2 linked regions of the Lytechinus pictus genome follow. The protein of the gene in region 1 binds, or shares a complex with, the protein of each later gene. Links are inferred from orthologs where the notes say so. Each region holds a gene or a part of one and is shown on either strand. Other genes may lie near its edges.

What was found.
Region 2: signal peptidase complex subunit 2-like (region 1) and signal peptidase complex subunit 1-like share a complex: the UniProt entries of both Drosophila melanogaster proteins name them as parts of the signal peptidase complex. The link is inferred for Lytechinus pictus from reciprocal best matches to the Drosophila melanogaster genes Spase25 and Spase12.

Annotation. Positions count from the first base shown.
Region 1 is NC_087260.1:11,022,244-11,029,911, reverse strand, and holds the start of signal peptidase complex subunit 2-like, read right to left. Parts: upstream 3,259-7,668; 5' UTR 3,034-3,258; coding exon 3,007-3,033; intron 699-3,006; coding exon 621-698; intron 1-620. UniProt on the Drosophila melanogaster protein: Component of the signal peptidase complex (SPC) which catalyzes the cleavage of N-terminal signal sequences from nascent proteins as they are translocated into the lumen of the endoplasmic reticulum.
Region 2 is NC_087258.1:20,231,076-20,239,198, reverse strand, and holds the start of signal peptidase complex subunit 1-like, read left to right. Parts: upstream 1-4,965; 5' UTR 4,966-5,019; coding exon of another isoform or gene 5,020-5,150; 5' UTR 5,151-5,456; coding exon 5,457-5,489; exon of another isoform or gene 5,490-5,551; intron 5,552-6,085; coding exon 6,086-6,145; intron 6,146-7,379; coding exon 7,380-7,466; intron 7,467-8,123. Other genes in the region: ubiquitin carboxyl-terminal hydrolase 48-like, read right to left, coding at 672-759, 1,667-1,726, 2,807-2,927, 5,020-5,150. UniProt on the Drosophila melanogaster protein: Component of the signal peptidase complex (SPC) which catalyzes the cleavage of N-terminal signal sequences from nascent proteins as they are translocated into the lumen of the endoplasmic reticulum.

The sequences.
Region 1 (7,668 bases):
GCAAGTTATGCAACTTTTACACTACCAATAATTACCCGGTAGATAACCAATCAATGGGGTTTATTAGTAGAAATGGGAGCCATATGGGACATTTAATTTGCTTATAGCTATTAATAAAGGACCTTTATACAAAATTGTATTTGGGAAAGGCACCGACTCAAGATATAACCAATATTCAAGGAGGTCAGAACAGGGTCGAGTCTCAAAAAGAGTTATGATTGATCTGATCAATCTCAGCTAAGGATATCCATCAATGCCATCATTTTTTATGCAGGAAATTTGCACAATGTCCCTTTGTAAACAAAGAGGAGCATACTGCTTGTCAAGACAATGTTGCCTGCATTTACATCATATCGTTGCCTTCCTGCAAAAAGGCCATTAGCGCGCATTGCACGTCGCCTTCCCACAGAAAGGCCGTTATCGTGCTGTGAACAATGCACGCTAACAGCCTTTGTGCGGGAAGCCGACGCGAAGTCCGCGCCAACGGCCCTTTCGCGGGAAGGTGACAAGCGGCCTGTGTGCGGGAAGGCGACGATATCTAGAAAACAGTTTGAACAGACATGTATGGCTGGCTTTCCACTGTTGTGTGCTGGATTGAATGAAGATCTTGAGAATCTTACCCTCCGGATATCATCATCCAAGGCGTTCTTGACCGCCGTCCCGTTCCACTTATCCACTCTGCACGGCTCTTCCTCCATCTGGAAAAAAAAAAAGAGAAGAGATACAAAATAACAAGCCCACTGATGAAAAATGCCAAAGACAGTCTTCACATAAGAATTTTGAACATCGATGAAAAAGGGCCAAAACACATTTGAAAGTCTTTATTTTCTCAAAACTAAAAATATGGTTAAAATATATGATCAGTAATTTTGTAAATTTTCCAACTATTCCCGCAGAAAAACATTTCTGGTCATATACCATACCAATACCAACATGTATACATTTCAAAGTCAGTGACCAAATATTATGCGAAGAGGGGTGGGATAAGATACTTCAGAAGTTGATTTCGTAAAAAAAAGAAAACTGCATGATCTTAGGTATTTGGGGAAGAGTTCCTTTTTTGTATCCATGGTCATTAGAGGCGCTGGTCAGTTTATAGGGACCGTCTCAGTTTTCAAAGATTTCTCCACACAAGAAATATAGGAAAGTTCATTCACCTGTCAAGTGCCAACGTCAATTGAGTGCGCTAGTCAAGGTATTAACATATCAGGTTTCATAACAAGATTATTGGAAGGCGGCAAGTCATGAAAAATAGACAGTGAACTTGGGGAATTGAGGTCACTGAATCTATTTTTAGCACTCTCAATCCCCGTAATTGCCTTGAACTATGTCCTGCAGGGGTAAGTGAAAAAAAAACCTGTCCCCATAATCTGGCCCATATAGAAGGACAATCCAATCTAAATTTATCAAGAAATGATTTGTCTTGGTTTTTGATGATATCCTTGTTTTCTGGGACAATCCCAACTTTTGGACCAGCACCTAATTTGATGAATACCAAGATAAATTTGCATTTCCTGATTGAATTTATGAATAGTATTTCAGTAATCCACTCCAGCTCCCCTGACAATTGACACTACAACATGCTCGGGTTACATCATGCATGCAATTGGTTTTCATGGTTTTGGATGAGAATATTTTGTTTTGTGATGGCATTAGGATCTATACCCTGACGAATATCTTTTAAATGTGTGCTAAGTTTGGACACCCAATAAAATCTAGAATGCAAGTCAACTGCAGCTGCATAAAATATGATCTGGGGCCCAGTTTCATTTCATGACATAAGCCATGAAAGTCAAGCCCAAGGTCAGGAGTGAGGGGCCTGTTTCATAAAATGGTGTTTGGTAGAATGGCTCTACGAAAGAACGAGATATTGCTAGACTGTTTCCCAAAGCCAATTTGGGCGATACGAAGAATGGTCCTTGGAAAGACACCTCTAGACATGTCCTACGAAGGCAGGTTCTTCTCTGCACACCGCCCGCCACCGTCCACATTGAGAGAAAATGTATTTACGGCAAGCCACACTGACATATACCACCTTTAAAAATTTTGGGGGGTCATTCAATTGCACTCTGCACTGATGCATTTTATTTGGGATGGCGCCAAGTTATCTTTTTAATATATGGGGGCTGTCATTGATTTCATGGCAAAAAAGATGCCATTTAATTAACTTCTCCAGGGTAATCTAAGCCCAAATTTAATATTTAAAAATATGTTTTCTTTTGTTTTCTCCCTCTTTTCCCCACCCTTTTTCCATTTTTTTTTTCAAGCAAACTTGAAATATGCATCACGTAGCTTGGCAAAGAACAAAAGAAACATGATGGCGACGTAAACACCGCGGCAGGTTTTCCCCGTCTCTTCCACTCACACGTATTGCGAGGTTAGTAGTATACTAACCTTGCACCATGAACCGCGTTTGGCAGTGGATTTCTAACTAGTGGGTCGCACGTGCTGCGATCCCACTTGTGTCCACAACACACGACTTCTATTTCTATGCGCGGCGGCATGTAATGAACCCTTGACCGAGTGCGTCTCTTCATATTTTTCTTGTTTTGTTGATGAATTCTTGTTTAAAAATGAAATCAATGTCATATTAATCTCGGAAAAGAAGTTGTAGACTTATCCCATTTACAATGATTTAGAAGTTAACTTAGTCTGACTTAGTTAGGACTTAGGGCTAGATCTTTTTTAGAAGGAAAGTAGAACTAGAAATCTGAGTCTAAGCCAGGGGCAAAAGTTTCAGTTTTTTTTGTGGCACACGCATATGAATAGGACGCAATCCCTGGCACCTCCGTGGAGGGTAAGCATACGTTAGTAAATGATTTTTACTCTCTAGTCTAGGAGCCTCCTGGCTAGTCTCCATGGATAACAAATTATAAATGGCAAAGTTAACAATTTTTATTTCAACTCAGACATAGGGACCTAGGCCTATATTGAAATTGAATTTTGAAAAAGACTTGAGTCAAGAACCTTAATTAAACTTAAAGAAAGCTAAATTTCTATTCTTACCAAGGTATCTCCACGTTCACTTGACATAATATGAGCACTTGTTTTTCCACTAAATCCTCTATTTTCGTAATCTAGGCACGGGTAAAATTGCACCAGTTTTGACTTTTATTCTGTTGAATGTAATGTGTGTAAAACATATGGCCAATATCGCTCCTCCATTCACTTTACACATGCAGTCCGGAATACATTGAGCTAAGGACACGTCGACTAAATCCCCCCATGGCCCTCCACGTGAAAACCGCTTAGAAGAGTAAAAATTGAATACTTTTTAAGCTATCCCATGAGCCTCTAGGTCACTGAGCGACGAAATACTTTGACTGACGCTCTTCTTCGCGACAAGGAGGGAAAAGGCAAAATATATTTAGTCTGTTTTCTCAACAAATGTAAAGAGTAAGTATCCGAAATCTCTACATTTCCAATACCAGCTTTATCTAATTTTTCATGATCATCATCACTTTATTAATGTAAAAGGTACATTCTTTTTAAAGCAGGTCAAACTGGGGATAGGACACCGTGCCGTGCAGCGCTGACTCAGGCTAGCCCGACCGGGCCGAGACGGGCCGCGTGACGCCGTGAATACGTAGATGTGTCGGAGCCTGCTGCCAGTGTCGAGTTGTGGATATGGATGGCGGAGTCTGCAGACTGACAGGCTGAGAGCCTGAGTCTGAGAGCTGGTCGCACTCACACATGCATGCGAGGTTAGCTATACTAACCTCGCACAACGCATGTGATTTCATAATGCAATTTGATGTTTTCATTCATCACACGAATGTGAGACTGAGAGAATAACATGCCAAAACAAAGCCAAACTCAAAGGCAAAATTTTTACATTTAATGATTTATTCACTACGACTACGTCTACGTAATTTTCATCTATCAACTAACTTAATTTTAAAAATATATTCAAAATTATTTATAAAAATGATTTTTTCACGCTTACCTCCAAATTTCGGCCAAGATACTCCGTCTGTCCGAATACTGCGGTGGAAATCAAGCAAACAACAATCGAAATGCGAATTTTTCCTATCTAAAAAACTAACAGTCTCTATTCAAGTCGTCGGCGCATAATAGGAAATTGTACAAAAAATCAACAGGTTGCTTCTCATGTATATAGTTATAGGTAGAGTTACCAAAAGGTCGGCCGATCCACTGAGCAAAATTGCTATGGGCAAATGAAAAGCCAATTGCAAGTGCGTAAACAGTGTGCATTGCCACCATCGTCTGTTCTCGACGGCAAAAATGAGCATTGAAATGCTTTTCCTCAGCAAATTAGTTCATCTTAGTGAAAAAAATTAGGCCCTGTGTTTTCTTTATGTAAATTGACTTATGTGGGATGAAGTGTCTTACCTTCATGTGGTATCGAAAGTGACGTTTGGAGGTTAAATCCACGAGAAATCCACAGAGTTTCGTCGCGTGTATTCGCTATGGAGAAAAATGCGTGCGATCGCATGCGTTATTGCAAGCTCGAGACGGCGCTGTTGAACTTGGTCTGGAAATTCATAAAAAATAAACAAAAATCCTTGAGTAGGCTCACAATAAAATCATAAAAAATATGCTTTATGGCTAAAACGGTAGTTCTCTTGCCCACACATATCATACTTGTTGTTGCGTAAGAAATCCTTTTTTCATGATAAAAATATAGCAATAAATGTTTTAAAAATTATGTTACCCACATGGAATATGTTTGAAACATCTATATTAGAAGAAAAATGTGTTTTTTGAATGAATTCAAACTAAAATGAAGTTTATACATGCTTGCACTTTTTCATACTACTCAAAAAACAAAATGGGCCGTCAATCAACGTTGGTTACCTCGGCAAGTAGGCGTGGTCTATCGTGAAGTTCGCTGGTGACGTACCTTTCTCGCTAGACTTTACTCAGCCGCCGAATTTAATTCATTCTCCGCGCATGTGCAACTGCAACTTATTATCGTCACTGCACTGCTGGTGTTTGCCGCATTGAGGACAGATGAAACAATTCAGATAGAGTTGCGCGTGTACAATGAGTGAAACAGCGCGATCGTTTCATGATCGAATGAAACAGTGTGCCTGTCGAGATAAAATTCATCTGCCATGTTATTTTCTATCGTGTTTTATGCAACTGCAATTGATTTGTTATATTATTTTCTTTGATATTTCCTGTATACAATATGTATGTATGAATTTTATTTGAAGTGAATGAATTATGCTGGTGTCCTTGCCATTGAGGACAGATGAAGATGAAACAACACTGATAGAGTTGTGCGTGTACAAGGAGTGAAACAGCGCGATTGTTTTATGATCGAATGAAACAGTGTGCCTGTCGAGATAAAATTCATCTGCCATGTTATTTTCTATCGTGTTTTATGCAACTGCAATTGATTTGTTATATTATTTTCTTTGATATTTCCTGTATATGTATGTATGAATTTTATTTGAAGTGAATGAATTATGCTGGTGTCCTTGCCATTGAGGACAGATGAAGATGAAACAACACTGATATAGTTGTGCGTGTACAAGGAGTGAAACAGCGCGATTGTTTTATGATCGAATGAACAGTGTGCCTGTCGAGATAAAATTCATCTGCCATGTTATTTTCTATCGTGTTTTATGCAACTGCAATTGATTTGTTATATTATTTTCTTTGATATTTCCTGTATATGTATGTATGAATTTTATTTGAAGTGAATGAATTATGCTGGTGTCCTTGCCATTGAGGACAGATGAAGATGAAACAACACTGATAGAGTTGTGCGTGTACAAGGAGTGAAACAGCGCGATTGTTTTATGATCGAATGAACAGTGTGCCTGTACTGTCGAGATAAAATTTATCTGTCATGTTATTTTCTATGATGTTTTATACAACTGCAATTAATTTTTTTTTTCTGTGATATTTTCCTGTTTATGTATAAATTTTATTTGAAGTGAATTATTATAAAGATTAATCCAAAACAAAGCAAATAATTGTCGGCTTCATTGTATTCGTGATGAACAAGTTAAGGTATCAAAAAATGATGCTTATTTTTTTTATTTGAATGACTTTGAGTAAATTGGAATTGAATAGGACGTTTAGTGTTTCCTGTTCAGTGCAATTTTTTTTTCTTTTTTTCATTTCACATTCTCGGGATGCGAACCTCCACTATAATTATAATTAATGAATACCATTATAAACAAAAATATTTGAAAAATAAAGACTCGCAAAAATTTTAATACTAGTGCAACGGTGATTTTTTTTATTTTGTTATTTCATTTACTGGGAGGTACGACAGACAAATACCCGGTGTAGATCAAAATTTTGCTAATGGGGGGGGGGGGCTACAATTTTTACCTTTTAAATTTTCGCACCGCCAGTAGGAGGGGTTGCCGCCGCCCATAATTGGGTCCGGCACCTGGATCTGCCTATGGAATGGATGAGGAATAATGAAAGGGGAGAAAAATAAAGGTGCCCCCTCCCGTAATATATCATATATTTGTTAGTGGATTTTGTCGTTCATTCTCAAGTGAGGACTTATTTTTCAACTTTTCCCAGGAATTTTGTGTATGGAATGATTTTTTCTTAGCATACTAGGTCTTGAATGCCCCCACTTTGGAAAATCCTGGATCAGCCCCTGTCAAGGTGTATATAGATGAAACTAAACTTGAATAGGGCTCCACATTAATGATTTTCAAAATTTAGCCATTTCCTATTTTCCCCGTTTAACACTGTGAGGTGAATAATTCAAATGCTTTCACCAGGCGCTACCATAGAAGTATCCAGGGGGGGGGGGCGGTCATCCCCCCCTAGCTGTTGGCGGATTAAAGACCAAACAATGGAGAAAGGAAGAAACAGAAGGAAAAGAGAGGGGAAAAGGAAGAGGGGAAAGGGAGGGAGAAAAGTGAATAAAATTAGGGAGGGGAGACTTCGATGATTTAAAAGAACATGCAAAATTGAAATTTTCGCTCGCGCTTCGCACTCGCATTGCTCATTTTCGAAGAGTACATATTGCTCAATAGGCTGATATATATGAGCTTGACATTTAAGCTTTGCAGTCAAAATACAAAACAAATACTGTACGGTCAGCTAGGACATTGAACTTTCATTATTCTTTTTGATTTATACCTCGGTCACATTTGCTCTGCGGCGGCCGTACTGAGAGTCAAAATAGCCGTTTTATTCATTTTTATTCAAACCACCTATATTGTGCTTAATTTGACCTTTTCACATCGGAATATCCAATATTATCAGTTCGCGCTTCGCGCCCGCATTATTGATTTCCGTGGTAAAAAGTGTATTAAGAATGCACAAATTCTAGAACACGCATGTTTATTGAGACGGGCTGCTTATCCTTTATTGAAAACAGCATGCTTAAATTATCTCGCTTCAGATTAGAATAAAAAAAAAAATTATTCTCGCTCTTGCATTATAAAATAATGTAAGACGGTAACCAATTACCCACCCTTTTCACGATTTAGAAAACATAAATATAAAATAGTGTTCCTTTTAGGTCTATATATCTCAATTGTTATCCGCTCACGCTTCGTGCTCCCACTGTGTTCTGTTCATACACAAAGTGCTTGGAATGTCCATTTTTATGGTCAGAATTTCAAACATTTTAGCTCGAGCTTTGCGCTCGCATTATTTTGATTGAAATATACATTGTCCTCTTGGCTAACTGTAAACCGCCATTAGCAAGTCCCTTTTCGA
Region 2 (8,123 bases), on another chromosome or scaffold:
TCGTTGAGCTGGATCTTACGTTTGCACACGTATTATGCACTTGTTTAATGCATGCAGCGCGGTATCGCGACGTCCGGCGACGTCGCAGCATGCATTGTATTAACACGTGTTGTCGCTCTAGCTGTGTTTGCACGCGCTCCTGCAATGTGCGCGCCATGTGAGATAGGCAAAGTGAAAAACTACGTGCAAGAATGTGTTCAGTTGGTGGAAAAATAATGCTATTTGGGATATCGCAATATACAGGTGCCCACAAGCTTCAGTTTTGTCTAACCTTCGCTCCAGCCGTTTTTTCAATATTATCGATGTAAAAATTAATGAAAATCAGAATTATGGGGTTGATATTCGTAATGCGGAATTGGCAATATAAAATCGGGATGATTCCGCCAAAATCGGGATGGTTGGCAAGTATGCATCCATCCCCTTCTTCCTCCTCCTTCCCCTCCTCTGTCTCCTCATTCTACTCCTCCTCCTTACTCTCCACCCGTCCCTTTCCTTTATTTTGTTCTGGATTGGAACCAAACAAATGTTCCTGAAGTAGATTCATCTCCATTCAAATTATAGAAGCTCAAGGGGGAAATCCATCCAACTCCTACATTTACAAATATTTCTTTTGGATAATCATAATCATTACAAAATTGGCACTTCTATGAAAGTTAACACATCATTTCTACCTTCAAGCGGTTGTTCTTTTCCCCATTCCTTATCCAATGGCCTCCACCTGTAGATTGCTTCTCGAAACTGCTGGTTATTGAACCATACCTGATTAGATTTTTTTTAAAGAAAGAAAGAAGAAGAATGAATTGACAAGAAAGAATAAGTTGCACTAGCTACATGTATAATAGCATCTAGCTTTTTACACAATAATTTACAATTTATTTTTAATTTATTTTTCAATGTCTTTGGGTGTTTTATTAAATGGACCCAAAATAGTTTAACATTTACATTTCAGATGGTGAGTTCATAACAATGATAAAAACAATGACTGATAAAGGGCAAGTCAATGAACTTGTGATAATCATCATACGTCATTGCTAGATTTGAGGGGTCAATAATTAAAGGTCAAGTCTACCCCAGAAAAATGTTGATTTGAATAAATAAAGGAAAATTAAACTAGAATAACGCTGAAAATTTCATCAAAATCAGAAATTCCATTTAAACCAATCTTAGAGAAATGAAGATCTCAGCATTCCAGGTGGTTTCTTTGACTTTCATGATGTACACACAGTGCTCAAGCTGATATCCCCCCCCCCTTCACCTTTCATCAGGTCACAACCAGGGAAAAAGTACACGGGGGCTCAAAAGAGCCCTGAAAAATCCCCTTCATTGCAATGTAAATGCTTATCTAAGTTTACTGAGTTGAAGCAGTGGGCTGTTAAAGGTCCCCCCCCCAAAAAAAAAAAAAATAAATAGATAAACAAAATATATAAAAATAAGAAAATAAATAAAAAATAAGAAATGAAAATTGATTTTAATAATAACAATAATAAATGGAAAAATGAATAATCAATTGAAAAATGAAATAAAATATCAATAAATAAATGAATGAATGAATAATCAAATGAATGAATAAACAAACAAACAAACAAATAATATTAATGATGATATTAAAACAAAAAATACAAATAATGATATTTTTTGGGCCTGGTCACAGCCTTTATGCACTTACCTGCAAGAATGTGTTCACATAACACGTTGCACCAAGATTTTTCAACCCAACCAAATCCTCCTGAAAGTAAAGCATGAAATATCAGAAAAAAAAAATTAAAAGCAAACTTTAGCATGCTTTCAATAGTTATAAAAGCAAAGATTAACAAAGCGATTTACTTGATTTAGTCTTGAAGACATGCATCAATCAATGGTTTCCAGCCTGAGTCATCAATAAGTCAGTAAACTGGGACTCAGCGTCTTTACTTTGGTACAAATGTATCATCGAGTATTGCGTATAGAATGCAAAAAATCAAGCCTAGTCTACCATAGAAGTAGGGACTAAAATTCCTGTTAAATCTAGACTTAACGGGGTACTCCAGGCTGAAAATGATTAAATCTAAATGGAGCACAATTCACAGAGTTAAAACGCTGGAAATATCATCAAAATCTGAAAACAAATGACAAAGTTATTGAATTTTAAAGTTTAGCAGTATTTTTGTGGAAACAGTTAATGCAGTTCCAGGAGCCATCCGACAAGTTCACCCCAACAAAAAGTTGATTTGAATGAAAAGATAAATATCCAACGAGCATAACAATGAAAATTTCATCAAAATCGGATGTAAAATAAGAAAGTTATAACATTTTAAAGTTTTGCTTAATTTCACAAAACAGTTATATGTGCACACCCTGGTCGGTATGCAAATGAGGAGACTGATGGCATCATCCACTCACTATTTATTCTGTATTTTATTATATGAAATATAAAATATTCTAATTTTCTCCTCATTGTCAAGTTAAACAACAATTAATTCCTCCCTGAACATTTCGAATTAGCATTGTTTTATACTATATGGCTCAGTCAAGTTGGTCCTTTTTGTCAACTTTGTAAAAAAATAAATATTGTATAATTCAACAATAAAAAACAAAAGAAAAAGTGAGTGAAGGACATTATCTACTGCCTCATTTGCATATCACTGTTTTGTGAAAAATAAGCAAAACATGAAAAATGTCATAACTTTCGTATTTTACTTCCGATTTCGATGAAATTTTCAGCGTGATGCAATTTTGATTTTTTTCTATTTATTCAAATCAACATTTTTCTGAAGTGGACTTGACCTTTAACTTTGAGACTACCACCCTGACCCATGACCAGACTGACCTTTCTCCTCGTTTCTTCTTCCGGGTCATCCATCTGATACCAGTGTTCATCGCTGATCCCCTTCAGCCATTCCTTCTCACCAAGATTCACAAGGCAATTTGGATTGCCTTTGCAGTTTCGCCTGGACAAATGAGAATCAAAGTATTGCTTTATTACTTTGCAGCACTTCAGAGTATTGTAGTATTCAGAAATTGTAGTGGTATTTAAACATATTTGTCCATGGATTATTTTCAGCTACTTGGCTTTTTTTTCTTTTTTTCTGTTTGTGGTAACTCCCGTAGGAAATCGGCAGGACAGCATTTTTTGCTGGTAAACGCCAAGCTGGTATATAACCAATTACCTTGGAAACATTTTACGTCTAGGTTAATCAGTCATAGTGGCTGACGTAATAGACGACAGATATCACTCTTGGGCCTTTTTATCAAAGTGGAGACAATGGCAGAGTTGGGATTCGAACTCACAACCTTGCGATTATGAGTCCAATGCTCTAACCACTGGACCACACGACCCGCTTTATAAATGAACACATCCAATCTGCAGTTAGAATGAAGATCATGTGAAAAATCAGCTGATAGATCTAACTATAGCTACATGTAATTAATCACCTGTCAATGGCATGCACATAGTTAAAATATGATACTTGGCTCAGATCATGATGGATGATGCGCACAAACATGACTATGGAACACTCTAAAAATAAATACTTAAATCTTGAAACACCATGTTGAAAAATACATTTCTTATCGGTTGTAAAAGTGCAACAAATGGATTCCATTGATAAAATTCAATTCAAATTCCGATTGCAAGTTCCCTCTTTGCAGATGAAATGTTTTGGTCACTTGAAAATGGTGATTTTAATTTTCATTATGATGGTGGTCCCCAAGTTTGTGCACCTAACGATTTGAGTTGAGATTTATGGCAAGTTCCCCTAAGTCTGCGCAGTCCCCCTTGTCTGCGCACACGAGTATCTGCACGATTCGAATAAAAGAAGATACGCAACGAGCACGTACTTTAAACATGCAATACATAGACAGGTATTCATAAAAAAATCCGACTCAAAATGGTGGGAAAATAATGAATTTAGGGCATTTAATGTGACAGCCTCAAAATGCAGCGTTTCTCATCAAAATCCCCAAATCGTGTGCAAAGTGAATGAGTGCGCAGACATGGGGTATCATTTTTATTCAATCTGAAAATGACTGCTCGAGGTTTTTTCAAGAAAATCCTATATTTTCTTTCATTTTTTAATGAGAAACTTGGTACACTTACTCTTAATAATGTAAGGAACATTATTAATTGAAAGATTTTGTGAAATAAGAAGAAATTCATGTTAAATCTTAACTCAAATTGTTAGGTGCGCAGACTTGGGGCCCACCATCATAACATGAATTTCTTTTTATTTCACAAATTCTTTCAGTTGATAATTTTCCTTAATATTATCATAACTGAACTAAATATCTCATAAAAATTAGAAATACATGGTTTTCTTGCAAAAAACATCAGGCAGTCATTTTCAGATTGAACAAAAAAATGGTACCCCATGTATGCGCACCCATTCACTTTGCACGCAATTCGGGGATTTTGATGAAAAAGGCTGCTTTTTGAGGCCATCACATGAAATGCCCCAAATTCATTATTTTTATGTCATTTTGAGTCAGATTTTTTAATGAATATCTTTCTATGTATTGCATGTGTAAAGTCTGTGGTCGTCGCGTATCTTCTTTTACTAGTAGTAGTAGAATCGCGCAGATACGCGTGTGCGCAGACAAGGGGGACTGCGCTGCTGTGCGCAGACTTGGGGGAACTTGCCATGGCCATATGCCTCAATTTAAACAGTGAGTTAATAACATGACATGGTTAACGTTAGGCCTAATGTTAGAACACTTTCTTCCTCTCTCTCTTCCCATTCATGTTCCCTGAATTTTTAGCTGAAATTCAATTCTTTTGAGATCTAGACTCTAGCTAGATCGAGTCGACAATGATCTTTCATTCTTTATCAGTTTATCTCTACCGTATTTGTTTCTTTCATATATTTTCTTTCTTTTCGGATTATTCTCCTAACTATTTTTGCTTGTAGGGCCCAGAGGCTAAACATGAACTAGTGTTATCGCTCATGAGTCATAACTTTTTAAGTTTAACTTGATCATGATCCTGTTTTATTTCACTGCAGCTGCACATCACAGTAACACTAACACTACTACCACAGACTTTACCTGCAAGACGCCGAACAAATTGGGAGATTGACTCGATAAGCAATCCGAACATGTTCCTCCGTCACTTCTTCTGGAGAGGTTGTTTCAGTCCATCGCCAAATTTCCTTGTCTACATTGACTTTACCAGGCATTTCGATGGTTGATTTTCTTGATCATTAACTTAGTTCAGACTTCAAAGGCTACAAAATATCCCTTTCGCGCGAGAAATTTCACAACTGAGCTGACAGTGTTTTTATTTTATGAGAGCCGCAGACAAGACGGAGCTGGCGCTATTCTCCTTAATTGGTTTTGTTTGCTGTGGCCGTCTACATTTACGACACGTATTATTCATATTCCGGGCGAATTGAAATTTATTACAGCTGAATATTAGACCTTTTGGACAAGTGGTTATTGTCAAGATCAGTGATAATCAAGAAACTACAAGTAAACTCGACAGAATGGGGTTTTTGGACAGCGTACCAACCCATATGGTAAGTATTTTTAACGAGTGTCTTGAGTGTGGTCCCATCCATTGAAATACGAGTTTGTCTTAGCCGAGCTTAAGATGAAATGGGCCTGGGAAACGGGAAGAAACTTTGATGGAAGCTGAAAAGGAGAGGTCGAGAGAGAGCTTCAGCTTGGCCTTGGCCCTGCCGCGCCTTTTTTCCATATCCAATAGATTCCTGAAATCTGTTTTGGAGACTTTGAATCAGACTACGGTACTGACTACAAATTATGGTTATTGTAAACATGAAATTGTAATATTTGTATTATTTTATTTTTAAAGAATCTTGCCTCTATAGACTATAGGCTCTAAGACTAACTGTTTTTTATCAACAAATCCATTCTTTGAAAATCGATCAAGAATCAACTTCATCAATTAAGACAAGACTAATGTTAGAGGCAAGACGAGATTTAAAACATAGCCATAGGCATAGGTAAGTATCATGACATGACGTCATGAGTGCTCCTAAAACTTTAACTTTAGTTTAAGCTGTTAAGTCCCTTTTAAAATTAAACAAAATGACGTCATGTCATACTTATCTATGGCTATGTTTTCTTTGTTTTTTTCTTACTGTTTTCACAGGATTATAAGGGACAGAAACTTGCAGAGCAGATATTCCAGGCAATAATCATGCTGTTTGGGGTAAGTAAATTTTTGTTTAAGTGTGTTTGCTCTAGTCAACATGAATGAAAATCACATAGTTTTGATTAAATCTTCTTGGAGGGTTATCATAATATACTAACCTCACATGTTGTGTGAGTGTCATAATGCATAAAGCCTGACTATTTGCAAACAATTTTTTTGGTACATTGGCTAGTAGTAGTGTGTGTGTATCCTAGAAATGATAATAATTAGTACATTGTTATATGATCTTCTTTTCTTCCTCTTCCAGTACTCCCCCCATCCCTCCTCATCTTATCCATCTTCCTTCATATCTGCTACTGCTAGTCCTCTTTATTCTCATTTAACTCCTCTTCCTCCACATTTCCCCCTCTTCTACTTCTTTCTCGTACCCTTCCTCCTATCCTCTTCTTCCCCTCCTTATCTTGCTATCCCTCTTTCTCCTCCTTTTGCACCTTCTCACCCCCTTCTCATCCTCCTTTTCCTAATTTCCTCATCTCCCTCATTTCTTAATCATCTTCCTCCTCCCATCCCATTCCTCCTTATGTACCACACCTCTTCCTCCTCCCCCTCCTCATTCTTCTCCTTTTCTGCTCATCCTCTTCATAATCATCTAGTGCTCTTTTTCCTTTTCCCTTTCTATCTCTTCTTTCTCCTCATGCGCTTTCTCATAATATATCCCCCTTTTGCAGCTCATCTTCCTCATCCTCTTCTTCCTATCCTGTTCTTCATTTTGCACACCACCTCCTCCCTTTCCTCTTCATCTTTCTCATCTCCTCCCCTCCCCCCATCATCTAGTCATCATTTTCCTTCTCTCTTTCTAGATCTCCTCAAACAGGATCCTCTTTCCATTAAACTGTCTATCGTTCTATTGTAATCTTAGCCTTCTGGGACGAATTGCTTTGACTATTACTTTTTTCAGTAGCTCATAACAGCACCTTTTATTAAGTTTTGCTATTACATGTAACTGTTTTGAAATATATTGCAGGTTATTATGGATTAAAATTCAGAATGATTGCTTGAATATTGGATAAATATCTATAGCCAACAGAGATGCCAACCCTCCTAATTTATCAGCTCCTGAAAATTCTGCTCCCTTCCAATCACCTTCATTTTCCTCCTGAAATTTTGATCCATTTAATTAATCGATACATTGAATGGGAATTTAGTGAGAAAAGTTTGTCTGCAACCTGATTTCATTTCTGATAAGAAGTCTTGTGATTCATAAAATGTTGCACTTTGCATTCCCTTGCAGATTGTAGGGTTCATCTGGGGTTATGTCTGTGAGCAGTTCGTACAGACTGTGTACATACTCGGTGCTGGTTTTGTTCTCTCCTGTATAGTAAGTACCAGACCATCCTTTAAAAGGTTGTATGAAACAGTGAGTCTTAACTTAAGCCCAGCGTACATTGTGCAATGCGATTGCATGAAGTTGCCAATCGCATCTTACTCAGTCAGCGCAATGGGGCAATTCCATAGGTTGGTGGACATGAGCTCAATGTGTCTTTGTACTGTATAGCCCATCTGAACCGTAATGTGAGTAACCACTTTATCTGCACCCCTAGTAAAAACCATGTGTTCTTTATTTTTTGAATTATATACAAATTTGTCTCCCTAATATACTTATTTGAAATGGATATAATCAACTTTCATAAAAGCCTTGTATGAGGACACTTTTCACTTATGTCCACTTTTCATTTTATGCATGTCCAAATCATGTAACATGAGTAACCGACACATTTCTAAGATTTGCCAGGAGCATAATGAAATTTCCCAAGTTTTGTTTTTATACAAAGGATAGTCAGACTGCCTACTATGTTGTGATAAAGAGATGTTTAGTTCCTATCAATAATAATGGAGTTACAGCTCCAAGTATGAGTCAAGGTGTCTCCAAATGTAACATGGGTAACCATGGAATAGCCCAATGGCATTACAGGCCAACGCACACATTGCAACAGCTGTCCAACACGATGTATGGCACCACCTCTTTTATGCGTAT